2 linked regions of the Callithrix jacchus genome follow. The protein of the gene in region 1 purifies or fractionates together with the protein of each later gene. This does not show direct contact. Links are inferred from orthologs where the notes say so. Each region holds a gene or a part of one and is shown on either strand. Other genes may lie near its edges. The genes, in order: EIF3E and EIF3B.

Region 1 (15,517 bases):
TCCTCCCCTATATTTTAAATCATCTCTATAAATTTATAATAACCTAATACAATGTAACTTCTATGTAAATACAAGTTATATTGTATTTTTATTTGCATTATTTGTATTGTTGTTTTTGCTATGTTTTACTTTTTCAGTATTTTCCATCTGCTGTTGGTTGAATCTGTTAGTGTGGAATCTGAGAATATGCAGGGCTGACTGTATCACAAGTCTGTCTTACAGGTCTCTGATGAAAATGATATAAAGCAGAATCTGGCCCCTTCAGATATTGCTTGGTTAGTACAATAGTTTGGATATTTTCATTTGATTTTAAGCTGATTTTGATTACCCTTAGATAAGGGTATAAACTTACCAGTTCTTCATAGGCACTGGTAGGCCACTATTGTCTTTCACTCAAATCATGTATTTTCCTCATCTGCTTGGCCCTTGGGTTTAGGACTCCAAATACTAGAAAATTAGCGTAAAGCATTTTTTAAATGTAAAGCACTATAAAAACTCTAGTCACCTTTATTTAAAAAATAAAACAATTAATAATTGTTTCAGCCTCTGACAAGAAATAAAAGCTCTTCCCTTACTCTTTCCTCAAAGGTGGCTTAAAATTTCATTTTAACCTTTTACCTTCCTGCAAAAGGCCCACTCCTCAAAGCCAAGGTCATTTTATTACATACTATGTTAAGTAAGCTGCTCACTGCTTGTTTGTACATTTTATTAACTACTATACAACCCTGTGAGATGAGATAAAGGTCAAAGGTTAAAAGAGTGGTCATGATTGCTCTGTTTATTCCTTCCATGAGAATTTGCACGAAGTGCCACTGCAGTGAGGTGGCTTCTGAAAGACAGAAAAATATACTTACTATTTAATTCTGCTGATTTCTTTAGTCCAAAATTACTTCCACCAATTCTATATCTTTTCCGCTTCACCATTTACATAAACTAATATATTCTTTTAAAAGGTTGATAACTACGGGATAATAAATTTTAAATTATTTGTAATCCCATAAAAGTGTCTAGTCAGATTGGCTGCAGGCTGTTGTGAACAGCTATTCTAAAAGAAAAGGCCACCTGATTTGAAAAAGAAAAGGGGTTATTTATTTTAATGCACATAGAGCTCTAGCAGAAGTATTTTTCAAACTGTGTATTATAATCCATTAGCAGGGTATAAGATCAATTTAGTGGATTTCTTCCAGCATCTGTCCAGGGGATGAGGGGGAACGAAACAGAATGAACAGAATGGAATGCAATACTCATACTAAGAATACTTTGTAATTGAAACTTTGGTTTCAGTTTATACATATACTCAAAGATTCATGTATATGTATAAGTATATGAGTTAATGTGTAAAAGGTATTTCTTATTGTGGAAAAACACGCTTGTAGGAAAGAGAACACTTTTTTTTTTTTTGAGACGGAGTTTCCCTCTTGTTACCCAGGCTGGAGTGCAATGGCGCGATCTTGGCTCACCACAATCTCCGCCTCCTGGGTTCAGGCAATTCTTCTGCCTCAGCCTCCCGAGTAGCTGGGATTACAGGCATGCACCACCATGCCCAGCTAATTTTTTGTATTTTAGTAGAGATGGGGTTTCACCATGTTGACCAGGATGGTCTGGATCTCTTGACCTCGTGATCCACCCGCCTCGGCCTCCCACAGTGCTGGGATTGAGAACACTTTTTTAAAGCGTAACTTGCAAGAACGACTGTCTGACACACAGTCGAAAACATATTAAAATATAATAGCTGAACACAAAACAAGAAATGCTGTTTGTGTATGAAAATACAACTTTTATAAAACAAGTGACATTTTACCTATAAACACCTTAAGCTATACACCTTACATAGCTGACCCTGCCATACTCTGAATGCTGTTGTAATAAATACATCTGTAACACTATTAGTCACATACTATTTTCAGAAATGATTTAAATAATTCATATAAAAAATTGTTAGTAAAAATAAAATTGTCTTGAAGAAAACATGTATTCACCTTTGATAACTCATTATCTCAAAATCACAGCATCCGAAAATCAAGTCATCTTCATTTCCTAAAAATATGGCTTCCCTTCCCAATGTTCACATTTCTGTTAATTCCACCTTCTGTTAAAACTACCTGACATTCCACTTTTGAGTGCTGTTTCTGACTCTCTACTTTGGTTATCTAAGTCCTGTGGACTCCTTAAAAATTTCTAAGATTTATATCTTCTACTCTATTTCCACTGCTATTATCCATGTCCAGGTTTTCATCACCCCGTGCTAAAATTGCTAGGATAGCTTCCAAACTGGTCTCAACCCAATTCAATCTGTAAATTACTACCAGATATTTCTAAAAATTTACTTCATTACAATTTAAATTCTTAAGATACCCAATAATTCCTATCTTCTTTGAAGCAGTATAGTGTATAACTGGAACTATAGATTTTGGAGTTCTTTATTATTCAACTAATATTTACGAAATGCCTACTAAGTGCCAGGCCTGATCTGTGCATTGAGAATAAAGAAAGAAAGAAAAAGATAAAGTTCCTATAGTCAATATGGTTAGAGTCTAATAGGATAAAAAGAGGAAAATTCACATAACTTCAAATAGTGAAGTTCTAAAAAGAAAACAAAAGCACCATATGATAAAGTCAAGAGATTGGGAGAAAAAAGGAGCTTTTGGAGAGGGTGGTCAGAGAAGGCTTCTCTAAGAAAGTCATTTTCAAGCTAAGAGAAGAATGAGAAGGCACCAACCATAAACAGCAAATCTAAGTTCTAGAGAAAGAAACTAATTTGGCACGTTCGAAGAATGACAGAATGGCAGCCTAGATGGATGAACATAGTTAATAACTCAGTGGAGGAGAGCTGTATAAAAGCAGCTCAAATCACAGCACTCCCCAAATCATACTAGCTGTGGGATATCTGACAAGCCATTTCATCTCTCATTTGTTTCCTCATCTATAAAACAGAAATGAAGCCTATCTCATAAGACACACGTGAGGATTAAAAGAGATAACATATACAAAATGTTTCAGATTATTTTCATCATTATTATTACCATTACTGCATACACTAGTGGATCCAAGTTCAAAAACTTTGTGAGTTCAAGCTTTGTGTTCTAGCATTCACTCATGGAAAAAACAAGCATTTACTGAGAGCTTGTTTTCTGACTCTTACCACTATGGCTGGTCAACAGAAGGACTGAGAAGATCTCCAGGTGTAAAGAATGCAAACAAGTAATTAAAATATGATGGAGAGATTAATGAGGTTCAGTAAAAATTCTCTTAATCATCCTCCAGTTAGAATCAACTCAAAGAAATGCTTCTGTAAAACATAATGATGCCCACCAAGATTTTAGAAGCTCTTGGCTAGCTCTTGGTTGTCCCAAACAGTTATTACATTTTAAAAATTTAGCTACTTGTATCCAAACCAGTTCATGCCAGTTAAATTTAACGTAGTATAATGAAATATTATAAGGCAAAGAAAACTTGAGTGCAAAAAGAGACTGGTTTCTAAGAAACAAAGTTAGATGCTGTGAAAAGACTCTATAAAAACAAATAGCTCTGAAAAACTATCACATTAAATATGGGGATTTAATTTAAATATTATGAGAAAAATAATGGAAATATAAAAGACTTGTGCACTGAAGCTTCTATATTAGGGACTTTATGTTCCTGCTCCATGTTAAAGAAAGCAAAACAAAAATGGTTTATTAAACATGAAAAGGAATTTCAATCAGGGGACCTCTACCGAAGAAAAGCCCTGTTCTATATCAACCTGCAAAAGTTTAATGAAAGGTGCCATTGATGTTAGTTCTAAGTCAGGAACTAGGCTCCCATCTACATACAAAAAAGAAGTCTGAACTCCTTAGTCTAGCATTTTAAGGCTCCAACCTATCTTTCTAGCTTTTACCTTTCATAAGAGACTTTTGCAAAGCATATACTTTATTCTCATACATATCTGTACTTTCCAGACTTTGAAGTCTCATAGATCTGTATCTTAAAAGGTGACCAGAAGTTGTTTTATGAATGAGGGGAGATATATGGTGCTATCTACTTTTCCACGGAAAATGCAGAAAAGAATAAGTGGTGACAGTGGCGGTGTTGGAGGCAGAAGGAAGATGAAGGCAGAAGGAAAATGCAGAAAAGAGTAAGTCGTGACAGCAGTGGTGCTGGAGACATAAGGCAGAAGGCAGTTTTGAGTTTTATTAATTGTGAAATAACCATTACATGTGCCTTGTAGAACACTGGAAATATGGATCTTCAGTTTAGAAGTGAAATTTCAGGATGTGTTCCTTGAAATCTGGACCTTGCCTGCCTTACTTGGCACTATATCCTCAAGAACTAGAACAGTGCCTGGTGCACAGTACTCAAATATATGTTTAATTAAGGTGTTATTTAGTATACAGGCTAACGGATAGGTAAAGCTGGATGTGGATAAGATTGCTCACTGATGTCATTTAATCTATTTTAGGTATCTTCAAAACTAATGAGTACTTTGTACCATCTTTTCCCAGAAATATGCATGTTTACACAAGTACTAAATTTTGCACAATTTCATCAGACCACATGGTATTTAATGCTTGCATCAATTTAAAATCTATTGATCTCAAACTTAAAAACCAACAATAACATATTAAGAGGACAACTAAGAAACAGTGAAAACACCAAAAAATGAGCAAATGGATGTAGAGAACTCAACAGAGGAAAGGTCCGAAAAGAAAGAAGAAAACAAGAAGAATGTTATTAAGAAAGCAAAGAAAGATTTTCACAGAGGGAGTGATCTACAATAGCAAAAGTAGTAGAAGTACACAAAACACGTATGTTAGAGTTGGCATTAGGTCTCCTAGAGATCTTAGCGGAGTGGTAGGCCATAGAAACCAAATTGAGGTTGTTTGAAGGACTGAATGAAAAGAGAGGGAGTAGGGCAGTGAACATAAACAACTAAAATGTTCTCAAACATTTCTCACACATTATTTTTTCAACAAATACTCATTTAATGCCGATTATATGCCTGGCATTGTGCTAGGCATCCTATCCATGTCCTGCCCAAATAGCTCAAGAAACTTGACTATACTCTCTAAATTATCCTTTCCACCTCCAAATGTCTAATAACTTCCCTATGTAATAAGCATCAATCACTTTCAATTGGCTAAAGAAACAAACCAAATAATCTACTCTATTAGTAGTCTAACAAAGATGTGGAAGTGTTAAACTTACTGCATAGGTCTTTTATAAACAAGTGAGAAATTTTCCTATCACAAGAATTACAGTATTCTGAACTAACCAATTCATGACACTGTTCAGTGGAATTCCTAAGGACACACCTCTGACACACCCCCCCCCCGAAAAAAATCTAAACAAAACACTATCTTAAGAATCTTCCCATCACCCTCCTACATCCTAAAATTTTGTTACCATAACTCTCTGAAATAAAACTCTAGAATACTCTTTTCTTAAAAGTCACTTAAAATAGAATTTTAATTCTGGAAAGGTCTAAACCTTTATTTTACTAGTGAGCAAACTGTATCCTATTAGTTAAGCAAGTTGCCTAACTGTAGTATCTTTAAGATACTAAAGAAATTATTTCAATGCTAGAAAAATGGTTTGTAATCTTTTTTGACAATGTGTGTTTATTATTAATCCCATTAACAATTCATTTAGTCAACAAATAATTACTAAGCTCCACCCCCATGCATCAGGCTCTAGGAAAGTGACAGTGAACAAACAGGCCTGGTCCCTCTCATCCTAGGAAAGACCAAATTTTAAAACATAACACAATTGGTTCAATGCTTTAATAGTATGAGAATAGAATACATAATCGAAGGGTCACAGGTAGGTTTTGTTGTTTGATTTTGTTGTTTGGGTTTTTTCTTTTTCCAATTTTGTTGGGGGATGGGTAAAGGGAAGGGGGCAGTAGATGAGTCTAGTAGGCTTTTTTTTGTAGTAGGTGAGCTTTGTGGGGAACTGATAAATGATAAACTTTAATGGGGACAAGAATGAGGCAAGGAGGGAAGAACATTCCCAGTGGAAGGACTAGCATGTGCCAGCTTTCAGAAGCAGCATGGCAATTTAGGGTATTCATCAAAGGCCAGCATAGGCAGCTCACAGAGTGAGAGGGACAATGGCTCAAGATAAAGCTGGAGACATGGGTAATGTCCAGATCATAGAGAGGAGGGACATAATCAAATCAGTACTAGCTAATAATAACACATCCTTTTACATAGTACTTTAACAGTTTACAAAGCACTTTAAAATGTTTTCTCTTCCGTTCCTACAAACTTGTGTGGTAGCTATTATTTATTATTCCAAAATAATTACATCAATCCTCTTCAGAATTCTCACAGGGTAAGTTTAAGGTCCAAGTTACTCAGTTAAATCACCTTGTCTGTTGGTAGTACATAACTACTAGTCCCTCAAGATTTTATATATGCTACTAACATCTAGGAAAGCTATACTAAACATACCTTCATGATTGTACTTTCTAAAAATTATGTACTTAAAACATTTTTTAAAAGCATTAAAAGTAACAGCCATTTATCCATCATCCAGCTTACGGAATATACGCTGAAAATAGCCATTTATCCATCATCCAGCTTACGGAATATACGCTGACACAAGTCTTTTAAAACTATGTGTTTATAGCTTTTCTCCATAGATTGTGAATTCCATGAAAGTAGGGACTGTGTGTTGATAGATCCAAGATTTTGCACTAAGAAATTAACACTGTTGTTTAATACAATGGAATCCCTCAATTCAGGTAGAAATACTGAGGTTCATAATATGCTAGAGGCCACAAAGCCAATAAATAATTTAACCCAGTTCAAGTACAAAGGAATTTTGCTTTATTTCTTAAGAGTTTACAACTTTATAATACCTGATAAATTTATTCACGATAAAACCGAAAAAATAACTTTCAGTACACATATTTTCAGGTCATTATTAAAGCATCCCACAAAAGCATTTGCTGAACAAATTAGCTATGGAAGTCTCCTGTATTATGCTAAATGCTGGGAATATGAATTCCAATCACACAGATTCCATGCCTTAACGAAACTCAAGTTTCTTAAGCACACAGAATTGATCCAAGGTTTGGCTGTTTCCAGATTTAAAGAACATATCCCACTCTAGATCGACTAATAGGTAAAAATGTCCATCACACATGAGCACGTACATGGCCCAGAATTAATAAATTATTTTTCCCTTCAGAAAAAAAAAAAATTGCTAGTAGGGAGTACGAAGGAAGTTGTGCTGTGTGTGCAAATGTGTTTTGAAAAGGAGTGGGACAGAGACTAGCCTGAAAGGAAAAGAAACTGGAAAACCGGGTTTAAGGAGAAAACTAAATGTAGAGTGGCATATGAGAATCACAGTTGTTAAAGCATCTTCTACAACAGCTTTTCTGCACAGAGCTGTAATCCTTACATAGCACTTAGTAAAAGGCCTTACAGACCCTGTGTTTCTCGACGCCAAAGAAGCTTCAGTAACCACGTATTCCGCTTCCTCCGCACCGCCCAGCAACCACAGTTAGTGTGTGACAACCCTAGCCCCAAGTCCCTTCCGCCTCATAAATGGAAGCGGCCCTGGCCGCTGGACTGGCGCAGAGGAGGGCAGGTGAACCGATGAGACGACACTGTGGGAAACGCCATAGAGTACGCGCTCAGGCCAAGGAAGGGGTCAGCCTCAGCCTCCACCTCAGCTTGGCCCGTCCAGTGAGAGATGTGGTATCAAAAAAAGACCAGAAACCCCAGCTCCCCGAAGGCAGCGGGTAGTCCCAAACGGCTTCCTAGCACTTAAAAGCGCTGGTAACTTCCGCACCCGCCCCCATCCGAAGTTACCTTCCCAAGTGACATCGTAAAGCTCTGAGACCTTCGCCATCTTCCCAAGAACCTAGAGGCAGCGGGGTGAGAGGGCGGGGAGCCGCAGTCACGTGACTCGCGACCGGGCAGGGGCGATTTACGTAACTGGTTCTCATTGGCCAAGAGAGCAGAGGGGCGGTATTCGCTACGCACGTGCACGCAGCTCTGCGGAGGGGCTTTCGGGGAAGGGGGCGGAGCGAGCTGGGTGGTGCGCCGCGGTCCCGGAATCTGAGGCTTCTTTGGGTGCTGGCGGGGCGGAGGTGCTGACTCTGGGTGAGGTGTGTGTTTTTGTATTTGTTTTGCCGTGGATTTTTTTTAACAAATGCTGGGTTTTTAGTGTCCGCCAATCCTAGCTTTTCATTTTTTTCTGCCTAGGCGTGTTCATTCTCTTCACACTCCCCAATCAACAATTTATTCTCTTCAGGGCTGGCCGTGGTGCAGTCTTTTGCACGAATCCTTTACTAATCGCCAACTTTCCTCCTTCTTTAATGGGATTTGCTTTCCGTTCACTTTTTAATCGACTAAACGGATACTCTAAAGTTTTTATTAAATCTCTTCGAGGGACTAAGTGGGATTCTTTGCGCTTTGAAGTTCCCTTGAATACCCTTGGGCTAGCCTGTACCCTTCGTTTACGCTTGTCGTGCCTGTCATTGCTTCATCCATGTCTGCATGCCACACTAGGTTTGAAACTGTAGCGAGTATGTAAGTACTTACAAGAAATGAATGTACGAATAAGACCTTTACAGTTCCTGAACTTCGCTCCTCTTTTCTCCTGGTGGGTGGATGGGGGAGCCTCCTTTCCCACCAGACTAATTGCTTTTAGGGACCTTTGGACGTCGTCTCCTAGAGCTAAGGAGAAATGTCTGGACAGTAAGCAAAATATTTGAAGATGATAAGCATATATTTAGTATTTGGAGCAATGAGAACCTGAGATTGTAGAGGAGGAATATGTAAGCTGAGGAAAGACTAAAAATCACTGCAATGCCGCCATAGTTATGGGTCAGTGAAGAAGGGGCAGTAAAGGTTGAGAAGTAGAAATAATCCTATCCCACAAGTCAAAACAGTGGAGGGGTTTTATTCCCAGCTTTATTGAGGTATAATGGACAGAAATTGTGTATATTTAAGGTATAGGAAGTAATGATTAGATGTAAATATATATTGTGAAATGATTACCACAACCAAGCTAATCAACACATCCATCACCGTACCTGTTTCCCGTGTGTATGTGTTGAGAATACTTAATCTCTCAGCAAACTTCAAAGTATACAATACAAAATTATTATAGTCACTATAATGTACATTTGATCTCCAGAACATATTCACCTTACAACCAAAAGTTTGTACCCTTTGACCAACATCTCTCCATTCCTCTCCTCTCAGCTCCTGTCAACCACAGAGGGTTTTTTTGTTTGTTTAAAAAAAGAAAAGCAATAACCGTCAGGCCATCTATTCCAGAGAAGTCACGTAATGACAGAAAAGACTAGTGAAGTTTTATACTTGGATTGAATTCTGAGTGAGCTGGCATTCTTTCTAAACAGACTTAAAAAATCTTTCATTCAGGAAGTTAAAAAATGCTCCACCCAGAAATTCACGTATTCTAATTCTTCAATAAAGCAACATGGTGCAATGGGAAGAAAGAGAACTCCCAGATCTGATTCCAGGTTCTACCTTTTAGTAGCTGGGTGACTTTCAGCTTGTATGTCTCTCTCAGCATCAAAGAGGCTTATATGTGAAAAGCTAATAATATCTGTTGAAAAAGAAAATAGCTACCTTGAGTTGTTCATCAACATGAAAGCAGATACTGCAGCTAAAACCCCTGCGTGGCACTCTCATGGAGGTACCCTCCTGTATCTAGAAACACTGTTTATGTGCTAATCAGTCCCAAATTGATCAATCTTCTCAAAACCCACTCTGCTTGCTTGACATACTTGCTTAGATGGCTAGTTGATATGCATCTCAAAGTTAACATAGCCCGCACAGAACTCTGGATTCCTGCTGTCACCTTCTGCATTCCCACCTTGCTTTTCCCCATCATAGGTAAGGAAACCATTTACCTACTTGCACAAGTTAAAATTATAGGAAGTACCTTTGATTCCTTTTTTTGACACCCCCCCATATCCAGTCTATCAGCAAATTCTACATTGCACTTCATCTGCTTTTCATTTCTATTGCTGTTACCTTAATCTAAGCCACAACTTGTCTCTTCTGAATGATTGTGATAGTCTCCTAACCACCTTGGTTTCATTCTTGCTATGTAAAATCAGTTTTTTTATACAACAACGCTACTGGTCTTAAAAGAAAAATCAGACTACAGAAGTCCCTTGCTGATAGGCCTCAAATGGCTCCCCATGGCAATAAAAATATACTTCAAACACTTTACCATGGTTTAAAAGGCTTTACTCAGCCAGGTGACATTCATCTACCTCTTACCTCATCTCCTACTATTCTGTCTCTCCTTTCTAGCCCCCAGCCATTCTCATCTACTTACTAGTCCTCAAACAGGCCAAGCCCCTATCTGTCTTGTATCTGGCATTTGCCCACCTGCTTCCTTTTCCTAGAATGCTCTTCTCCACATCTTTTAGTGACCATCTTCCTTTCACCATTCATATCTCAGTTTTAAATGTATCCACTCATAGCCCTTTTTTGACCATCCAATAAAAAGTAGCTCTTATATAATGCCTATTCATCTTCATGACATTTATCACTATTTGATTTCTTGTATGTTTACTTGCTTACTTTCCGTATTTTACACCACTTTAAGCTGCTTTGGAGTACCAACTTTATTATTTTAACCTTGGAATATCCATGCTAGGAAAATACCTGAAACAGTAAAAATGTTTGTTGAATGAATGAATTAGATTAAAAATGACAGCTTGTATTAATATTTATTAAGGATAACATTTCTTAATAGTATACATATGAACTCTTGTTTAGTTAAGCATAGGATGTTTTCTTTTTATAGCTAATACTTTCCTAAAACTTATAAATTCAGTGAATTCAGGGACCATGCCAATTTTTTTTTTTTTTTTTTTTTCGGGTAGGCCCTGCCAGGGTGCCCCGGGTGGGACTACTCTGTGCCAGCTCCTCCCCCGGGTGCCCAGAGTCCACCAATTCATTTTTATATCAGCCGTTACTACAATACATTGCATACAAGAGCCACTTAATATTTTCATGAAATTATTGATGCTTAACATTTTTTTGGTTTGTTTGAGGGGACTAAAGCCTCTAGGAAGTCCCAAGTATGTATTTTTTAAAGCCTTGCAATGGATTTTAAAGACTATAACTAATTGAGGAAATAAATATTTTCTAATCACTTCAAGTAAATATTCCATAGCTAGCTACTATTGTCTGTCAAGCAATAAGCTATATGACACTGGGTTAAAAGTCATCATTTTCAGAATTTCTAAGTTGGAAAATAGAGTAATCTCATTTTTTAGTTAGAATGGGCTGATGATTCTTGAGAACAATATTTTTCAAACTTCTCTTGCCTACTACTCATACTAAGGAATATTTTTAATATTGTCACACAGTATGTGTACACATATTTAAAGCTGAAACATAGTATACAAACTAGTTTTGTCATGTGCCTTGTCTTTTGCATTTTCTATTCAAAATGTGTCAGTTACAGTGTATTTTCTGAAACTACTGGTGTGACATGATAATGAGGTCATGACTCATAGTTTAAAAAACATCCATGGATCTTGTATGTATTTCCTAACCTGAGGCCCTAATTTGAAATGATTTGCCCAAGTTTCTGCCACTAGTAGGTAAAAAAGATAGACGATTCATATGTAATTAGTTGTTTCGATCATAGATGAGAGATAAAATACTAATGAAAAAAATATATCTAGGAGAAATTTTATCACCAACAGTACAGTGAAGTAGGGAAAATGATTGCTTATAGATTATAACATAAGATGTCTAATAAAACTTGCCTTCCTCAGGCACACGTAAGAAAAAACTGGTATGAGAGTGACAAGAATTCTATATTCTTCTTTAACATTGTGTAACATGCAATTATAACTAAATGAAAATAGAAATACCTTCCATAGATAAAACTAATACTGAAAGCATAAATATCAATCTTACCTTCTGTAACTCTAACTTTACAAGATGTCTGCAAAGTTTTGCCTCTTACCCTCTCCCTCATTGGGAAAATTTTCATTCAAATATGTTTAAAATATTTAATCTAGTTTTTCTGATTGCACATTGGCAAAATTGGTGACAAATACCAAGGAAATGTCCAGGCAGCCAAATAATAGATTATATTAGCCTCCACATTATGAATAAGATGTGTCAGACACCACGGGCAGCATTATCTCACTTAATGATCTCAATAGCACAATGAAAATGTCTGTAATTGTTTTTATGTGAAACTAAATTGTGATTTGGCTTTTTTCCTACAAGATTAGGTTTCAAGAGTTGGAATGACAACAAATCAGAATGAACTAGAGTGAGACCAGAAAAACTTTGAATAAGCCCACATTTTCTTTGAGGTAGGTTATAAGCCAAATTAGTCCACAGAGCACTTTAGGGTACACATCTCTTTTATGGTTTACTTAATTCAGTTAATATCTTCAGACATAGTGGAGGACTAAAGCAACCTCTTAAATTTAATAAACTCTATGGCATTCATACAGTATACATTATTTCACAGGATATAAGCCAAATTAGTACACAGAGAACTTTAAAGTACATTTCTTTTATAGTTTACTTAATTCAATTAATATATTCAGATATTGTGAAGGACTAAAGTACCTTTTAAATTTAATAAACTCTATGGCATTTATATAATGTATATTATTTCACAGGATGAAACATACCATTCTAATTGATTTTACAATATTCAGCATCTTCATCAAACCATTTATTTAGAATATTCTGTCTACTTTTTCCTGGTCTTAATCATAGTCAATTAATGTCCCACATTATGTAACACAGCTTGTAACTCCTATTTACTATGACATTTATTTATCAGAGTAAATTGGTCTCACTACAACTCTCATATAAAATTTACCAAATCTTTTAAATTATATTGTTTCTAATTAGTGGATTATAACCATAATCCATTTTTATTTAACTGGAAATATTATTCATTCCATATCACCAGAAAGTAATCTTCATTTCATGGCACCAGACTTTCATTGTGACACATCTTGTTCAGAAGGAAATTTTCCTTAGCATTTTATTTACCAAGCGCCAGGTTAATGTAGAATTGTTTTAGGAATCTACTGAACGTTGTTTTAATTACATTTTTAAAAGATTGTACAATTAATTTGTTTACCCCCAAATCAGTACACACTCCCCGCTTTGCAGGCACAATTGTAGCATTTAGGCATGTCTGTTTTTTTTAAAGTTTGTTGTCATTTCCAATACACATGTTTTTAAATGTGCCAGCCATCATTTCATACCCAGTTATATTATTTTAGAAAGGAAAAGGGAGTCTCTGGGAAACATTTCTAGTGAGATCGCTTTGGTCCTTCTATAGCAGATTTTGCAAACTGATTATTACGCCCTGTGCCGAAGTTATAACAGTGAAAAGGAAAGTACATCCAGAAAGAGTACACCCAGAATTCCCTCACATGGGCAATAAATTAGAGCTGTTTCTTTCTGAGATTTATAACCATACTTGAGAGTCCACTTTTTCAAATGATATTTATTTAATTTCCCCAAAGTGCATATTCTATTCTGATACACACACACATCTGTGTAAATGTACTCCTTATGCAAAAATGTATTTTTGTAAACATCTCTTTGGGTTACCAAATATCCAGGACTCCCTAAATACTATTAATGTAAACTGTTGGTCCCTGAAGACCATCTAGACTCTACTTTCTACAGCAGGACTATAATGGAATCCTTTACTTGAAAAAACATTCAAAAAGGTGTTTATTTACAATAAATAAATTACATTATGGGAAACTCATGCAAAGATAAACTGAATGTCACATTATACATGTTAGTTTACTATTAATATAATTTTTACTTTTGAGTAGTCCCTCTCTTTGGTAGTTTGGTAGCATTACTCTAATTACAAGTGGCTGCATCATTCATTCAGACCTGTAGTTCTCAGATATCTTATCCTGGCCACCAGGCCAGAATGCCATTTTCTTTACTGGTCATCTTTTACTGTGGTCATGCTGACCACTCTGCTAAAATTGGCTTAAAGGCCAACAGCCACATTGAGCATAATGTGGTCATGTCCTGTTTTAGATCATAAATCACATGCTCTCTTGTACATAAGAGGGCCGATTTGGTCTACCCCATGGTTTTATTTGGGAAAAAGACTAGTTTCCTGGCAGAATGTCTGACAAAACTGCCCACCCCGAATCCATTCTGTCGGACCTATGCATCATCTTCTCACTCCTAAGGAAACAGCATGATCTCTATTTTTAAAAATTTAAGATAAAATTGTTTATCTTAAAACTATGAAGTAAGGAACAATACAGATGTGCTTCAAAAGCTACCACTTAAATTACTGCCACCTCTAGAAAATCTTTGAGCAATAAAATATTTTCATTTTATTCAGGAATAAAATATTTCATTTCCTTCTGTTCGTTATGTTTCTTTTACACATTTCCCTTGAATCTTTAAATAATGAACTTGAACATGTATCCAGTGTGGATGGGGGTGTGATGTGGGGGTGCTTTCAGTTGTTAAAAGTGGATTGGAAGAAAGATTGGTCAGAAAGAGCCATAGACCGTGATTTAGATCTGATAAAGTATCAGCCAACTCAGTGAGAAGCTTCTGAGCAAAGATTGCCCATTAGAGGACACCCACAATGGGCAGAAATTGCCAGGCCTCATGTAGTGACATGCTCAGTTATTCTCTGGGGACTACACAGAAGGGCATAGCCTCAGCTCAAAAGCTGTGATTAATCTGGAAGATTTTACTAGCTGGAGGCTGTCAACTTCCTGTACTATTTCAGCAAATTCTTTTTTGAAGGGCGATTCAAACAGTGTACCTCATGTCTGCCACAGTAGCCATTATTATTATTTTTCCATTCTGGCTATGCACAACCTCAACACTATTGGGTAAAGAATTATTGATGAGAGGTAGGGGTCTGTGTTCTTCAGAAGTCACTAGTGAGTTGACATATGGAAATTACATTTTGACTGCACAGAATATCTTTATTATATTATAAATAGTTCAGCAATGGTTGCCTTGTGTTAAAGAAAAGACGTGGTAGAATACATATAATCCACAGAGGCTTGTTTTTTTGAGACATAAATCAGGAATCATTCATTCTTTTCATGGGTGGAGACTAATAGAACTACCATTGGTAAATTACCTAGAACTTCATATTTCTTCCTCATTTTTTCACTCAGCTGCCAAATATCTCAAAGTAATTTAGAATTTTAAACATGTCACTCCAAGAATAATAGTAAAACTCTGAAAAAGGGCAGCATTTCTAAAATTCTAGAATTCAAGCTCTTCATGAAATACTAGAAAATTCCAAAGACACTGCACTCAGAATGCCCCTAGATAATTTAGTGGCTAGCTGCCATACTATCATTGATGGTTGCTTCTTATTAAACTTAAGGATAAATTTTATCAGTATTTTCCAACAGATAATTGATTGCAGGTGTGAAATATGAATGCTGAGTAAATATTCAGCCCCTCAATGTCATCTTGCTATTCTCTCATCCAAATATCAAGGCAGCCTTAATTAGCATCTGCTGTGCTACACAGATGCT
Region 2 (15,517 bases), on another chromosome or scaffold:
ATGTCAGTAGAAATATAATGCACCCAGAAAACTTATAATTTCACGGAAACTATAAATTCAGCCTTAAAATGAAGTCAAGGTTTTTTAGAAAGGGTTCTGATGGAAATTAAAGTTGACCCCTGGGCTGAGAGCGTGGTGGCTCATGCCTGTAATTCCAGCACTTTGGTAGGCCAAGGCAGAAGGATCACTCTAGGCCAGGAGTTCGAGACCAGCCTGGGCTAACACAGCGAGACCTCCATCTCTAGAAACATTTTTTTTTTTTTCTGAGACAGAGTCTCACTCTTGTCACTCAGGCTGGAGTGTAGTGGGACAATCTTAGCTCACTGCAACCTCCACTTCCTGGGCTCAAGTGATTCTCCTGCCTCAGCCTCCTGAGTAGCTGGGATTATAGGCACCCACCACCACACCCAACTAATTTATGTATTTTTAGTAGAGACAGTGTTTTGCCCTGTTGGCCAGGCTGGTCTTGAACTCCAGACCTCAGGATCTGCCCCCCTCGGCCTCCCAAAGTGCTGGGATTACAGGTGTGAGCCACTGTGCCTGGCCTGGCTCACATCTGTAATCCCAGCACTTTGGGAGGCCGAGGCAGGCAGATCATGAGGTTAGGAGATGGAGACCATCCTGGCCAACATGGTGAAATCCCGTCTCTACTAAAATACATACATACACACGAATTAGCCAGGTGTGATGTTGCGTGCCTATAGTCCCAGCTACTTAGGAGGCTGAGGCAGGGGAATTGCTTGACCCGGGAGGCAGAGGTTGCAGTGAGCCGAGATCGAGCTGCTGCACTCCAGCCTGGCAACAGAGTGAGACTCCGTCTCAAAAAAAACCAAAAAAACACCCAAAACAGTAACAACAAAACAGCAGAAATTTATCCGCACAATTCTGGGGACTGGATGTCCAAAATCAAGGCGTCAGCAGGTTGGTTTCTCCTTGAAGCTCTGGGGATCTTGAGATCTACCCCAAGCCTCTTTTCTTTTTTTGAGATGGAGTTTTGCTCTTGTTGCTCAGGCTGGAGTGCAGTGGCAGGATCTCCGCTCATTGCAACCTCCAGCTCCCAGGTTCAAGTGATTCTCCTGCCTCAGCTTCCTGAGTAGCTGGGATTACAGGCGTCTGCCACCATGTCCAGCTAATTATTGTATTTTTAGTATAGATGGGGTTTTACTATGTTATTCAGGCTGGTCTCAAACTCCTGTCCTCAATGCATCTGCCTCGACCTCCCAAAGTGCTGGGATTACAGGTGTGAGCCACCATGCCTGGCCATAATTTCCCTCTGCTTTTTTTTTGAGACGGAGTTTCACTCTTGTTACCCAGGTTGGAATGCAATGGCATGATCTCGACTCACTGCAACCTCCGCCTCCTGGATTCAATTCTTCTGCCTCAGCCTCCTGAGTAGCTGGGACTACAGGCGCACGCCACCATGGCCAGCTAATTTTTGTATTTTTAGTAGAGACGGGGTTTCACCATGTTGACCAGGATGGTCTCAATCTCTTGACCTCGTGATCCACCTGCCTCGGCCTCCCAAAGTGCTGGGATTATAGGCATGAGCCACCGCACCTGGCCTTTTTTTTTTTTTTAACGGGAGTCTTGCTCTGTTGCCAGACTGGAGTGCAGTGGCGTGATCTCAGCTCACTTCAATCTCTGCCTCCTGGTTCAAGTGATTCTCCTGCCTCTGCCTCCTGAGTAGCCGGGATTACCGGTGCTGCCACTATGCCCAGCTAATTTATTGTATTTTTAGTAGAGATGAAGTTTCTCCATGTTGGCCAGGCTGGTCTCGATCTCCTGACCTCGTGATCTGCCCGCCTTGGCCTCCCAAAGTGCTGGGATTACAGGCATGAGTCACCCACCAATTTCCCTCTTCTAATAAGGACATCGGTCACTGACTTAGGGTCCACCCTTGTCCAGCTTGACTTCATCTTGATTACATCTGTGAAGACTGTTTCCAAACACAGTAGCGCGGATCCCCAGTTTCCACTATTTCAGTTACCCATGGTCAATTACGGTTGGAAAATATTACATGGCTAAGAATTTTGAGAGGGAGACACCACCAGACACCACATTCACATAACTTTTATTACAGTATATTGTTATAATTGTTCTGTTAGTTATTGCTGTTAATCTCTTTTTTTTGAGACAGAGTCTCACTCTGTCGCTCAGGCTGGAGTGTAGTGGGGTGATCTCGGCTCACTGGAACCTCCACCTCCTGGGTTCAAGATTCTCTTGCCTTAGCCTCCTGACTAGCTGGGACTACAGGTGCATGCCACCATGCCCAGCTAAGTTTTTGTATTTTTAGTGGAGACGGGGTTTCACTGTGTTAGCCAGGATGGTCTTGATCTCTAGACCTCGTGATCCACCCACCTCAGCCTCTGAAAGTGCTGAGATTACAGGTGTGAGCCATCGTACCCAGCCATCTCTTACTATGCCTAATCGTACCCAGCCATCTCTTACTATGCCTAATCTATACACTTCATTGTAAGCTTGCACATGTAAGTAAGTAACATACTGCCAGGCGTGGTGGTTCACACCTGTAATCTCAGTACTTTGGAAGGCAGAGGTGGGAGATCACCTGAGGTCAGGAGTTCAAGACCAGCCTGGCCAACATGGCAAAACCTCATCTCTACCAGACAGAAAAATTAGCTGGGCGTAGTGGCGGGCACCTGTAATCCCAGCTACTCAGGAAGCTGAGGCAGAACTGCTTGAACCTGGAAGGCAGAGGTTGCAGTGAGCAGAGATCACCCCACTGCGCTCCTGGGCTCAAGTGATTCTCCCACCTCAGCCTCCAGAGTAGATGGGACTACAAGAGCCATCACCAGGCCCAGCTAATTTCTTATTTTTATAATTTTGTTTTGTTTTTGAGACAGAGTCTTGCTGTGTCGCCCAGGCTGGAATGCAGTGGTACCATCTTGGCTCACTGCAACCTCTGCCTCCCAGGTTCGAGTGACTCTCCTCAGACTCTTGAGTAGCTGGGACTAGAGGTGCATGCCACCACACCTGGCTAATTTTTGTATTTTTAGTAGAAAGGCGGCTTCGCCTCGTTGGCCAGGCTGGTTGAACTCCTGGGCTCAAGCAGTCCTCCCAGCTTGGCCTCTCAAAGTATAAGAATTACAGGTGTGAACCACTGCACCATGCCTTAAGTTCTCCCACACTTGGGGGAGCAGAATTTGCCATCACCTTCTAAAAGCAGGAATGTCATTTATGAACCCCTTATAGACAGGTTCATGTAAACGATGTAAACATACACGGTTTACTCACCTCTGTACCCCCACCAGAGTGCCTACCACAAAGTAGGCACTCACATAATTTTGAGTATCAACGGCAGCACTTCTTAGATATATTTTCTGCACAGTTTTATCTGTAGAAAAGGCTAGGAAAGGCTGGACACAGTGGCTGACATCTGTAATCCCAGCACTTTGGGAGGCTGAGCCAGTTAGATTACTTGAGGTCAGCAGTTTGAGAACAGCCTGGCCAAAATGAACCCCATCTCTACTAATAATACAAAAATTAGCCGGGTGTGGTGGCAGGCACCCATAATCCCAGCTACTCTGGAGGCTAAGGCAAGAGAATCACTTGAACCTGGGAGGCGGAGGTTTCAGTGAGCCAAGTTCGCACCACTGCACTGCAGCCTGGGCAACAAGAATAAAACTCTTTACCTCCAAAAAAAAAGAGAAAAAAAAAAGATGGCTGGATAATATGGTGGCCTCACACCTGTAATCCCAGTACTTTGAGGCTGAGCTAGGTGGAATACAAGGTCAAGAGATCAAGACCGGCCCAGCCAACATGGTGAAACTCCATCTCTACTGAAAATACAAAAATTAGCTGGGTGTTGTGGTGGACACCTATAGTCCCAGCTACTCTGGAGGCGGAGGTTACAGTGAGCCAAGATCACACCACTGCACTCTGCACTCCAGACTGGTGACAGACGGAGATGCCGTCTCAACAAAAAAAAAAGGCTAAGGAAGTCCATTCCCCAGCAAAGTGAAGAGTGCCTCCTCTGTGCAATGCATGCCTGCCATAGAAGAGTTTTCCTTGTCTAAGAAATATGCAGTTGCCAAGCTAAAATCAGCTGTTTTCAAGCTCTTTGGTTAGTATTTGCTTCTTATTCACTGACTTGCTACCTTTTAGCATTTTCTAGAAGAAAAGAGTTGGCAGAGCCTGATGATCTAAGAAAAGCTGCAGCGGAAACTAGAAATTGGGAGGATAATTTGGTCTGGAGGTGAAACCTAGTTTGCCTTTGTGGAACTGTCCTACCAGCCACACACTAAAATGTGTCATCCAGCCACCTGGCTGGGTGTGGTGGCTCATGCCTGAAATCCTAGCACTTTGGGAGGCTGAGGTGGGATGACTGCTTGAGCCCAGGAGTCCAGGTGACACCTGGGCACCATAGTGAGACACCATCTCTTTTTTTTTTTTTAAAGCCAGAGTCTCGCTCTGTTGCCCAGACTGGAGTGCAGTGGCAGGATCTCAGCTCACTGCAACCTCCACCTCCTGGGTTCAAGCAATTCTCTGCCTCAGCCTCCTGAGTAGCTGGCGCATGCCACCACACTGGGCTAATTTTTGTATTTTTAGTAGAGATGAGGTTTTACTATCTTGGCCAGGCTGATCTCGAACTCCAGACCTCAGGTGATCCACCTGCCTTGGTCTCCCAAAGTGCTGGGATTACAGGTGGGAGCCACCGTGCCCAGCCAAGATCCCATCTCTGTTTAAAAAATGTGTTATCCCTTACTATACAGATGGAGAAACTGAGACAGAGGCATTAAGTAACCTGCCCAAAGTTACACAGCTGGCAGCATGATGAGGAGGAGTCAAACCTAGTACTAGACATGGGGAAGACACTGCTTCTTTTTTGCTCTTTTAAACACCATCAGAACACAACGGGTATGGTGGCTCATACCTATAATCCTAGCACTTTGGAAAGCTGAGGCAGGAGGATTGCTTGAGGCCAAGAGTTTGAGACCAGCCTAGGTAACTTAGTGAGATGCCATCTACAAAAATAAACAATAAAGAAATTAGCTGGGCGTGGTGGCACACACCTTCAGTCCCAGGTATTTGGGAATGTCATTTAATGCCACTGAACTGCGTATGAACTGCATATTAAAATGGCTAGGCCCTTCGAGGTGATTCACCTTAATGCTGGCACTTAGGGAGGCCGAGATGGGAGGATTCTCTTGAGGCTGGGAGGTCAGGGCTGCAGTGGAGCTGTGATTATGCCACTTCACCCTAGCCTGGGCAACAGAGTGAGCCCTGTCTCTGAAAACAAAGAAAAAACTATATGATGAAATATACATAAAATTTACCGTTTTAGCATTTTTTATTTTTGCGAGACAGGGTCCCACTATGTTGCCCAGGCTGGTTTTTAACTCCTGGACTCAAGTGATCCTCCCACCTGGGCCTCCCAAACTATTGGAAAAACAGGCTTGAGCTACCGCGCAGGGCCTAGTTATTTTAATATGCAGTTTAGTACACAGTTCAGTGGCATCAAGAACATTCACCAGGTTGTGCAACCATCACTACCGTCATCTCCAAAACGTTCTCATCCTCCCAAATTGAAGGTCTGTCCCCATTAAACACTCCCTACTTTCCTCCCCAGCAGGTACCACCTGTTTTATTGATTTAATTTTGGTAGAGACGAGGGCTGGAGGGCGGGGGGAGGCTGCGTTGGCCAGGCTGGTCTCGAACTCCCAAGCTCAAGAGATCCTCCTACCTCAACCTCCCAAAGTGCTGAGATCACAGGCGTGAGCCACCGCGTTCTTTTCTTTTCTTTTGAGACGGAGTTTCGCTCTTGTTACCCAGGCTGGAGTGCAATGGCGCGATCTCGGCTCACCGCAACCTCCGCCTCCTGGGTTCAGGCAATTCTCCTGCCTCAGCCTCCTGGGTAGCTGGGATTACAGGCACGCGCCACCATGCCCAGCTAATTTTTTGTATTTTTAGTAGAGACGGGGTTTCACCATGTTGACCAGGATGGTCTCAATCTGTTGACCTCGTGATCCACCCGCCTCGGCCTCACAAAGTGCTGGGATTACAGGCGTGGCCACCGCGCCCGGCCCACCGCGTTCTTTTCTAGTATGACGAAGACATCCCACGAGTAGTTGTCCTCCACCCCGGCAAAAAGCAAGCTAGGAGACGGAAACACCCAATATCCGTTCCGCGAGCACCAGCGGAGACCTAACCTTTCCGGTCCTCCCTGCGTCTGCCTATCACCCTATGCGGCGAAGACCCGCCCCCGCCCCCACGTGACCCGCGCTCTCCCGCGCGGAGGGGGATGGGCTAGGTGGATCGAACCACTGTAAACGCCCGAAGGCGGGGAAGCAGGCGGTGACGGCCGTTAGGGAAGAATTAGGGGTAAGCGATTAAAGCAACTCGGATACATTTTTGTATCGCGCCAGGTAGTCGTCCTTCTAGTCGCGTGGGCCGCCTCTGGCTCGCCTTGAATTCCTTTTCTATTTTAGAGTTGTCCATCCTTTTGCCCAGTCAGTAGACGAGTTCAAGTGACCAGCACGGACAGGGGGACATTCATAATGTAAGCTAAACGGTTTGCCTAGCAAAAGGCTGAAACGCCCGGAACAATCGCCTTTTGAGCCTCCACTTTTCTATGGTATTAACTGTTGAGTTAGAGGACATTTTCATAGCATTCCTCATATTAAAATGATTTTTGGTCCCCGCTTTCGGCGCTACAAATAGTTCAGCCTCGACCCGCAGCGCCTGACGGGAGAGGAAAGGGGGCGGCCGCCATGTTGGACGGAACCATCCCCTGCCACACACGGGGTGTTCAATGCTCCCATGAGTTTACTGATGAATAGAAACAACCTTGACAAATAGGATTAAGCATTTTCTTGTCACAAAAATGTCAGTTCGGTGACTTTCGGACGCGGTCCTGCGAATGTAAGTCCTCTTCGTCTCGTCGTGAGGTCCCAAGGCGTGGGTGCGCCCCTGGCCTTCGTGTGGCTTCCCGATCTCACGCACATGGCTGCGCTGTAGCCGGCGCGGCGCGCGGTGCGGCCTGGGAGAGTCGGAAGCGTGGTGGCCGCGGAGCCCTGCGGGGAGGCAGCGTTGGGCCCATGCAGGACGCGGAGAACGTGGCGGTGCCTGAGGCGGCCGAGGAGCGCGCCGAGCCCGGCCAGCAGCAGCCGGCCGCCGAGCCGCCGCCAGACGTGGGACTGCTGCGGCCCGGGGGGCCTGGCGCTCCGGAGGCGGCGGGGACCGAGGCCGTCAGTGAGGAGGTGGCGGCCGCCGAGGCCGGACCGGAGCCGGAGGTGAGGACCGAGGCGGAGGCGGCCTCCGGCCCATCCGAGTCGCCTTCGCGGTTGGTCGCCGAGGAGCCGCCCGGGTCGCATGCCGAGCCCCGAACCCCGGCACAGGGCGAGGCCCGGGGGAAACAGGCCCGGGACGAGCGCACTGACAGCCGGGCCCAGGCGGCGTCCGAGGACGCTGGAGGAAACGAGGGCAGCGCGGCCGAGGCCGAGCCCCGGGCGCTGGAGAACGGCGACGCGGACGAGCCCTCTTTCAGCGACCCCGAGGATTTCGTGGACGACGTGAGCGAGGAAGGTGAGGGCCCTCGGGGTGGAGCCGGCGAGCGGCGCAGGAGCGTGTCTAGGGTTCCTGAGGTGGGAGACGTCGTCGGGCTGTGCCACCGTTTCGTGCAGAAGTTCCAGCGAGGGTATCCGTGTGTTCCCGAGAAGCCACCATGGAGGAGGTTCCCGAGTGCCCGCCCTGGAGGTGTTCTGAGAGCCCAGCATCTCCCTTTTTGTAGAAAAGGGGGCTAGATGGAGTCCCCTTTGGAAGCTAGGCATTTGTGAGACAGTCAGAAATCTGTGAGAGTGGGAGAGGGCTCCAGGGGGACTCCGTTATGACTGGGTGTGCCGGTGCCGTGAGTGTCGCTGCTGAGGGTACAGCAAAAACCGAGAACCCGGTGTCAAGCTTGCGGGTCTGCGTGTCCCCAGAGCTGACCCGTCAGACTTTCCAAGGTAGGGATCGTAGTAACAGGTTGTGGCAGAGCCAGTGATTTTGTCTTCCTGCCCCGCAGAATTGTCCACCTCCAAAGACTTCCCTAGTGGGACAGGCAGCCCCTGTCAAATTCCAGTTTGGTTTTCCTTTATGCCCCCTCCCCCACGGTAAACCTATAAGGCGAATTATTTTTCTAGGTTTTAATGTTGTTGATAACAGCCTGCTTTGCTTTCATCTCTACCTTGATTGGATTTACAGGCATATTTCTGCTTCCTGCCTGAAGGTGCTCCTCTCCTAAAGTGACTTCTGATGAGAGCTGATCGCATTTGTTTTTGCTTTATTTTAGCCGTCTTAAGTCTTTAAGTTGGGAACACATTAGCCTGTCTATTGGCTAAGTTAATACTAGAGTGAGAAAAATAAAAATACTCTTGATGACACAGCCGGTGATACACTAAGGCAATTTAGGGAACAACATAGAGTGGCCAACTTATAATTTAAATGTTTTTTAATTTTTTGGAGACGGAGTTTTGCTCTGTCACCCAGGCTGGAGTGCAGGGGCATGATCTCGGCTCACTGCAGCCTCTGCTCCCGGGTTCAAGCAATTCTGCTGCCTCAGCCTCCTGAATAACTGGGACTAACAGGTGTGCGCCGCCATGCCCAGCTAATTTTTGTATTTTAGTAGAGATTGGAGGTTTCACCAAATTGGCCAGGCTGGTCTTGAACTCCCGACCTCGTGATTTGCCGGCCTTGGCCAGTTTAAATGTATTTTTAAAAGGCTATCAAAAATATAAAAATTAGCCAGATGTGGTGGTGCACACCTGTAGTCTCAGGTACTTCGAAGGCTGAGGCAGGAGAATCATTTGAACCCAGGAGGCTGAGGTTTCAGTGAGCCAAGATTTCATTACTGTACTCCAGCCTGGGTGACAGAGTGAGACCCTGTCTCAAAAAGTGAAACATTAAAGAATAAAAAGGCTGTCAGTTACTGTGACCATTATTATGTTGCACTTTTTTTCATAAAAGACTAAATATTTGCATGAAAAGCAGGAAGGACACCACAAAGAAGACCTTGGGAGCATCTAGTCTAAGTCCTTTGCTCCTGAGGAAACGTGTCCCTGGAGGTGGAGTAGGCTGCTGAGAATTCCTGGTGGGTCAGCACTGCTTGGGGTCCCCCAGACTTTCCTGCTCAGAATATTGTTCTTTGTAACACTTCGATTTTTTTAGATTTTGAAATTAAAACTTTTGGTTTAGTGATTGTTTTGAGCCCTTGGATATTCTGCTGAGTTTTTGTTGTTGTTTGTTTGTTGGCTTGTTTTTTAAATAGAGACAGGGTTTCACCATGTTGGCCAGGCTGGTCTTGAACGCCTGACCTCATGATCCTCTGGCCGTGGCCTCCCAAAGTGCTGGGATTATAGGCGTGAGCCACCACGCCCAGCCTGAGTTGTTTTTTTAAAGCATTATTTGAGTCTATCAAATTCACAAATTTCTAATATGTGAATTCTTTCTGGAATTGGGAAAAGCCAAGGTTGGCTGGGCTGGGTGATGACTGTGGGTCATCCTGAAGGTGCAGTGGCCAGAGTGACAGGTGAGGCATCTGGTCCTGGGGAACTCAGGCTCAGCAAGTCAGCATTTGTCATGGTCCCCTTGGTTGTGGTTGGTAACTCAGGTAGGTTTTTTGTTTATGAGAAGAGCTGCCCTTCAGGGTCAGTGTGCAAGACAGTATATGACTACCAGTTCTTTCCGGAAGGGGTCAGGTCTTCCAGGGAGCAGACCAGAGATGGCCTGGAGTCCTTGTCTTGCCGCTTTTAGGTTTTTGGTATAGATTAGCATCCCAATCTGTAATCATCCTTTCAGGTTAATGTTTCAGCTGCTTTTGGTGTTTGGTGAAACAAATATGTGATCAAGATTTTAACTCGTAAGTGTCTTTTTTGGCTCATGAACTATTTTTTCTCTTTCTATTTGCTATTTAGTGTTGAGAATTGTTCCCTTCTATTTTTCCTGGAGACAGATTGGGAATCCGTGAACTGTGTGTAACTGGTGCTTCGGCTGAGAGTGATCAAGGCGATGTGTCTTCATGGTGTAGTTACTTCATATATTTCCTTCCTAGGTGTGGGCAGGTTCTTCTAGTCTAGATGCTTTGAGCTTGTGGGAAAGGAGTATACAGTTTGTGTAAAAGCTGAGCCTTTTATTGCAAGCCTTGTAAATTCAGATCAGGCTTTCAGGACATTTAATTGACTTTTAGGTGTCCCTCTGCTCCTCAGAAGGAAGAGGGCTGAAAGTCGAGTTGATCACTAGTGCTCAGTGATGTCAGTAATCACACCTGTGTAATGAAAGCCAGAAGGACTGGGTTCAGGGGGCACCACATAGCTGAACAGGTGGAGGCTCCTTCGGGGTGGCATGCCTAGAAAGCACAGGGAGCCCCTTCGCTTTTCTTCCATCTACTTCTTTGTGTTCTCTATAACTTCTGTTATAATAAGCTGGCAAACCTAGCTCCCTGAATTCTGTAAGCTGTTGTAGCAACCCAAGAAGTGGGGAATAGTGGGAACCCTGCTTTGGAGGCTTTCGGTCAGAACTGGAGATGACAGCCCACTACTTACAATTGCCATCTGAAATGGGGACCCTTCTTTGGGACTGAACCTTCAGCCTGTGGGATCTGATGCTAATTCCTGGTAGATAGTGTCTGAATTGGGTTAAGTTGGAGGACACCCAGCTGGTAGCCCCTGGAGAACTGCTTGATATGGACCCACATCTGGTGTCAGAAATGTGTTGAGTGGCATGTGAGTAGGAAAAACACTTTGCTCCATCCCTATCTCCTGTGTTGATCCTTCGAGATTTTTAACATAGGGAATGTTGGATAAGGGGTTTTGGACGAAGGTGCCTGGTGGTGGGCCGGTCGGGAAGTTCACCCAGGTGCCTTCCCTGTTTGTTTTTTTTCCTGATCCCCTTGTGAATGGCTATCCAGTTCTCTGCCTGAAAACATGAAAATAACTGGGAACAGGAGGTGGGAGAAGAGTTACTATTTTCATCCCAATTCACTCAAGAGAAGTTTTCCTCCTTGAATAATTTCTAGTAGTTTGAATTCACAGCACAAATGTGCTGCGAATATATCGAGCATTTAAATATTTACTTGTTTGCTAAAATCTTCTGTAAAAGTCAGTTTTCATTGACATTGGGATAGGGTTCTGCCTAGATGTTGCTAGAAACCTTTCAAAATCTAGGGATCTCTGAAAGATCTAATATTGGATATTCTTTAGATTTTCTTCTTCATTTGCATTTTGCATTGTTAAAAGCTTTTTATTGTTAACTGTCTTCTGGTCTTTGGTTATTGCCAGAACTTAACTGACATACCTTGACTGTTGACATTTCCATCAAAGGGAGAGAGAGGAGTCCCAGTCTCCCTACTTCTCACATTTAAATTCTGAAACAAGCTAGGGTTGGGGTTTCTTTTGCTCACAGCAACAGCATTTAGATGATTCATTGTCACTTTCTGGATATTTGTTCAGTGTGCTTAATGTGTTAATGTTTTTCCTGGTAAAAGTGGTCATTTGACAAATCTCTGTTTCGCAGAATTACTAGGAGATGTACTCAAAGATCGACCCCAGGAAGCAGATGGAATCGATTCGGTGATTGTAGTGGACAATGTCCCTCAGGTGGGACCTGACCGACTTGAGAAACTCAAAAATGTCATCCACAAGATCTTTTCCAAGTTTGGGAAAATCACAAATGATTTTTATCCTGAAGAGGATGGGAAGACAAAAGGGTGAGTGTTCGCCTGTGAGAGAAGTCTCATCTGTGTCTGGCACGTCGTGATGAAGGAGTGTTGAACTGTTGCCTCGCCCAGGCACGTGGGCCATTCTCTTTTTTAGGCTGCCCTCAGCGGGAAGCTCTCGAAAGCAGTGAATGAGAAGATGATAAAGTTTGTTTTTTTAAGTTAAGGTTTTAAAGTTTTTAAAATTGGCCAGGCATGGTGGCTCACGCCTGTAATCCAAGCACTTTGGAAGCCAAGGAAGGCGGATCACCTGAGATCGGGAGTTCAAGACCAGCCTGACCAACATGGTGAAACCCCCGTCTTTTAAAAATAAATAAATAAATAAATAAATAAAAAGTTTTAAAATTACCTAGAATAGGCCAGCATGGTGGCTTACACCTAAACTCCCAACACTCTTAAAGACTAAGGCCAGGAGTTTGAGGCTGCAGTGAGCTATGATTATGTAGCTGCACTCCAGCTTGAGTGACAGAACAAAACTCTGTCTCTCAAATAAATGACGTAAAGTAAAAACTAACTAGAATAGTTTTAGTTTCTAGAAAAATTATCAAATGTAGGTAATGCTACAGTGTTTTTATGTTGGGCAGTCAGTTGAAGGGTAGCCTCTTGACCCTCGGTTACTCATGTTACAATGAAAAGTGCTCTGAGGTCCTTTGTAATGTTGCCTATAATACACAATATTAGGCTATTTTTAAGATTTTGTTTATTTTTGAAACAGAGTCTCACTCTGTTGCCCAGGCTGGAGCTCAGTGGTGTGATATCAGCTTACTGCAATCTCTGCCTCCCAGGTTCAAGTAATTCTCCTGCCCTAGCCTCCCAAGTAGCTGGGCTTACAGGCACGTGCCATCACGCCTGGCTAATTTTTGTATTTTTTAGTAGAGAGGGAGTTTTGCCGTGTTGCCCAGTCTGGTCTGGATCTCCTGAGCTCAAGTGATCTGCCCACCTCAGCCTCCCAAACATGAGCCACAGCGCTGGCCACAAGTTCTTTTAAAAAACAGCTTTATTGAGATAATCGATACATAATAAATCTGCATAGTTTTAAAGTATACAGTTTAATAGATTTTGATGTCTACACTTAATGAAACCATTGCCACAGTCATGGATGTTTTGATTAGCTTTTCTATAATTTATAATCATAAAACTAGAGACTTGAATCTTCTGGTTAGGTTTCCCTCTCATTTAGGGAGCTCCTTGGCTGTGGGTCTGTCCTCTGTGTGACTGCCTTAGGCTCAAGGCAGGAAGAACAGCACAGATAACTCCTGGTACAGAGGGCTTGTCCATGGAGAGGGGTGGGGTAGACAGTGCATACCTGCCCAGCCTTATGGTGTGCGTGTGTATGAACGGCCCTCTTTCACTCAGGTATATTTTCCTGGAGTATGCGTCCCCTGCCCATGCTATGGATGCTGTGAAGAACGCTGACGGCTATAAACTGGACAAGCAGCACACGTTCCGGGTTAACCTTTTCACGGATTTTGACAAGTAAGTTCAGGTTTGGTCATGAGGCAGTGGACGTTGATGGGCAAGCGACCGGCCGTGTCTGGGTGGTTTGGTGCTTCTCAGTGGGCGTTGGTGCCTGTCAGATTGTTAACAGCCTTTCTGGTCAGGCTTCCGCAGGGCCACAGTGCCATTTCATAGCCCTGCCCCAAGCTCCTGGCCCGTAGCACCCCTCCCCATTATGCCAGTCACAGCCCTGGGGGTGGGCAGGCAGAAGTGCAGTAGGGCCATGCTGGACCCCTGGTGCTCTTTCCAGTCATCAGAGCATGGGGTTCGACAGTCTCCTTTCTCCTCTAGGTATATGACCATCAGTGATGAGTGGGATATTCCAGAGAAACAGCCTTTCAAAGACCTGGTGAGTGGCCTGAAACCTGCATCTCAGTGGTTTAAAGAAGTGTTGCTGGGGCGCGGTGGCTCACACCTATAACCCTAGCACTTAGGGAGGCTAAGGTAGGGGGATCCCTGAGTTCTAGGAATTCAAGACCAGCCTGGGCAACAAAGTGAGACCCCCTCTTTACAAAAAGTAAGTACATAAATTAGCTGGGCCTGGCATGCACCTATATTCCCAACCACTTGGGAGGCCGAGGTGGGAGGATCACTTGAGCCTGGGAGGATGATGCCACAATGAGCTATGATTGTGCCACTGGGCTCCAGCCTGGGCAACAGAGTAAGACCCTGTCTCAAAAAAGGAAAAAAGAAATGCTGGATGTTGTCTTGACTTGAGGTTAAGGTGTGACTTGGGAGTTGAAGTGTGGACTGAATTTGTCATGTCTTTAAGAGCAATAGTTGTGAATAAGTTTTTTTTTTTAATTAATGAAATGTTATTCCTTGCCTTCTTTTTTTTTTTTAATATATAAGGGTAATTTACGTTACTGGCTTGAAGAGGCAGAATGCAGAGATCAGTATAGTGTGATTTTTGAGAGTGGAGACCGCACTTCCATATTCTGGAATGACGTGAAAGACCCTGTCTCAATTGAAGAAAGAGCGGTGTGTATTTGCTGCCACTGGGGGTGGGACTCACCTCCCCTCTTTCCTTAACAAAGTGGAACTTTGTTTCCATTAGAAAACTGAAAGAGCAGATGAGGTTTTATTTTCTTTGAGATTACTTTATGAAAACAACTTATTTTATTCCTCTTCCAGCTTTGAAGTAGATCCTAAGAAGTGAACAGGCTTTGTGTATTTCAGTTATGAGTTTGCAGAAGGCCGGGCGTGGTGGCTCAAGCCTGTAATCCCAGCACTTTGGGAGGCCGAGGCGGGTGTGTCACGAGGTCAACAGATTGAGACCATCCTGGTCAACATGGTGAAACCCCGTCTCTACTAAAAATACAAAAAATTAGCTGGGCATGGTGGCGCGTGCCTGTAATCCCAGCTATTCAGGAGGCTAAGACAGGAGAATTGCCTGAACCCAGGAGGCGGAGGTTGCGGTGAGCCGAGATCGCACCATTGCACTCCAGCTTGGGTAACAAGAGCGAAACTCCGTCTCAAAAAAAAAAAGCGTTTGCAGAATAGATTTACTGTAGGAAGGTCTTGACGTTTGATATTTTGCACTGCCTTTTTCTGCAGAGATGGACAGAGACATATGTGCGTTGGTCTCCTAAGGGCACCTACCTGGCTACCTTTCATCAAAGAGGCATTGCTTTATGGGGGGGAGAGAAATTCAAGCAGATTCAGAGATTCAGCCACCAAGGGGTTCAGCTCATTGATTTCTCACCTTGTGAAAGGTAAGCTGATAGAAAAACACCAGTGGAGTTTTATGCTTTTCACCCCATGCCGGCCTTCTATAGGTAGTCTTTAATTTTGTAGCATTTCAAACGTAGAAAGATAGGAGTGCAGAGAATGCTGGTGTGCTTTACTGAGATCTTCTCACATTTGGTTGCCTTTGCGTCATCCTCTGTTGTCTCTGTATAGATACTTTTCCTGAGCCATTTGTAAGTTGAAGTAACATGTCCCTCTAGCCCTGAATGTGTGTTCCTAGAAATAGGATTTTGTTAGCATGACCACAGTACAGGCACTGACTTCAGGGATTTAACATTGTTTTAACATTTGATTGCATTGCCATATTCTAATTGTGTTACTTGACCTAATAGTTCTGTATATTATTTACTTTCCTTCAGGATCTAGTCTAAGGTCACATATTTTACGGATAATAAATTTTCCTTGCTCTGTCACCTAGGCTCGGTGCCATTGCAGGCCCATTGTAGGTAGCCTCAGCCTCCCAAGGTCAAGTGATTCTCCCACCTCATCCTCCTGAGTAACAGGGACCACAGGCACATGCCACAACTTACAGCTAATTTTATTTTTTTGTAGAGATGTGGGTCT

The links.
Region 2: the proteins of EIF3E (region 1) and EIF3B purify together in Homo sapiens (affinity purification with mass spectrometry; 9 studies listed by BioGRID and IntAct, counting the BioPlex papers as one, with this or other methods). This does not show direct contact. The link is inferred for Callithrix jacchus from reciprocal best matches to the Homo sapiens genes EIF3E and EIF3B.

The regions. Positions count from the first base shown.
Region 1 is NC_133517.1:88,591,359-88,606,875, forward strand, and holds the start of EIF3E (eukaryotic translation initiation factor 3 subunit E), read left to right. Parts: upstream 1-8,001; 5' UTR 8,002-8,098; intron 8,099-12,227; exon of another isoform or gene 12,228-12,316; intron 12,317-15,517. UniProt on the Homo sapiens protein: Component of the eukaryotic translation initiation factor 3 (eIF-3) complex, which is required for several steps in the initiation of protein synthesis.
Region 2 is NC_133503.1:56,681,831-56,697,347, reverse strand, and holds the start of EIF3B (eukaryotic translation initiation factor 3 subunit B), read left to right. Parts: upstream 1-6,987; 5' UTR 6,988-7,055; coding exon 7,056-7,542; intron 7,543-11,505; coding exon 11,506-11,698; intron 11,699-13,063; coding exon 13,064-13,183; intron 13,184-13,495; coding exon 13,496-13,553; intron 13,554-14,056; coding exon 14,057-14,185; intron 14,186-14,761; coding exon 14,762-14,919; intron 14,920-15,517.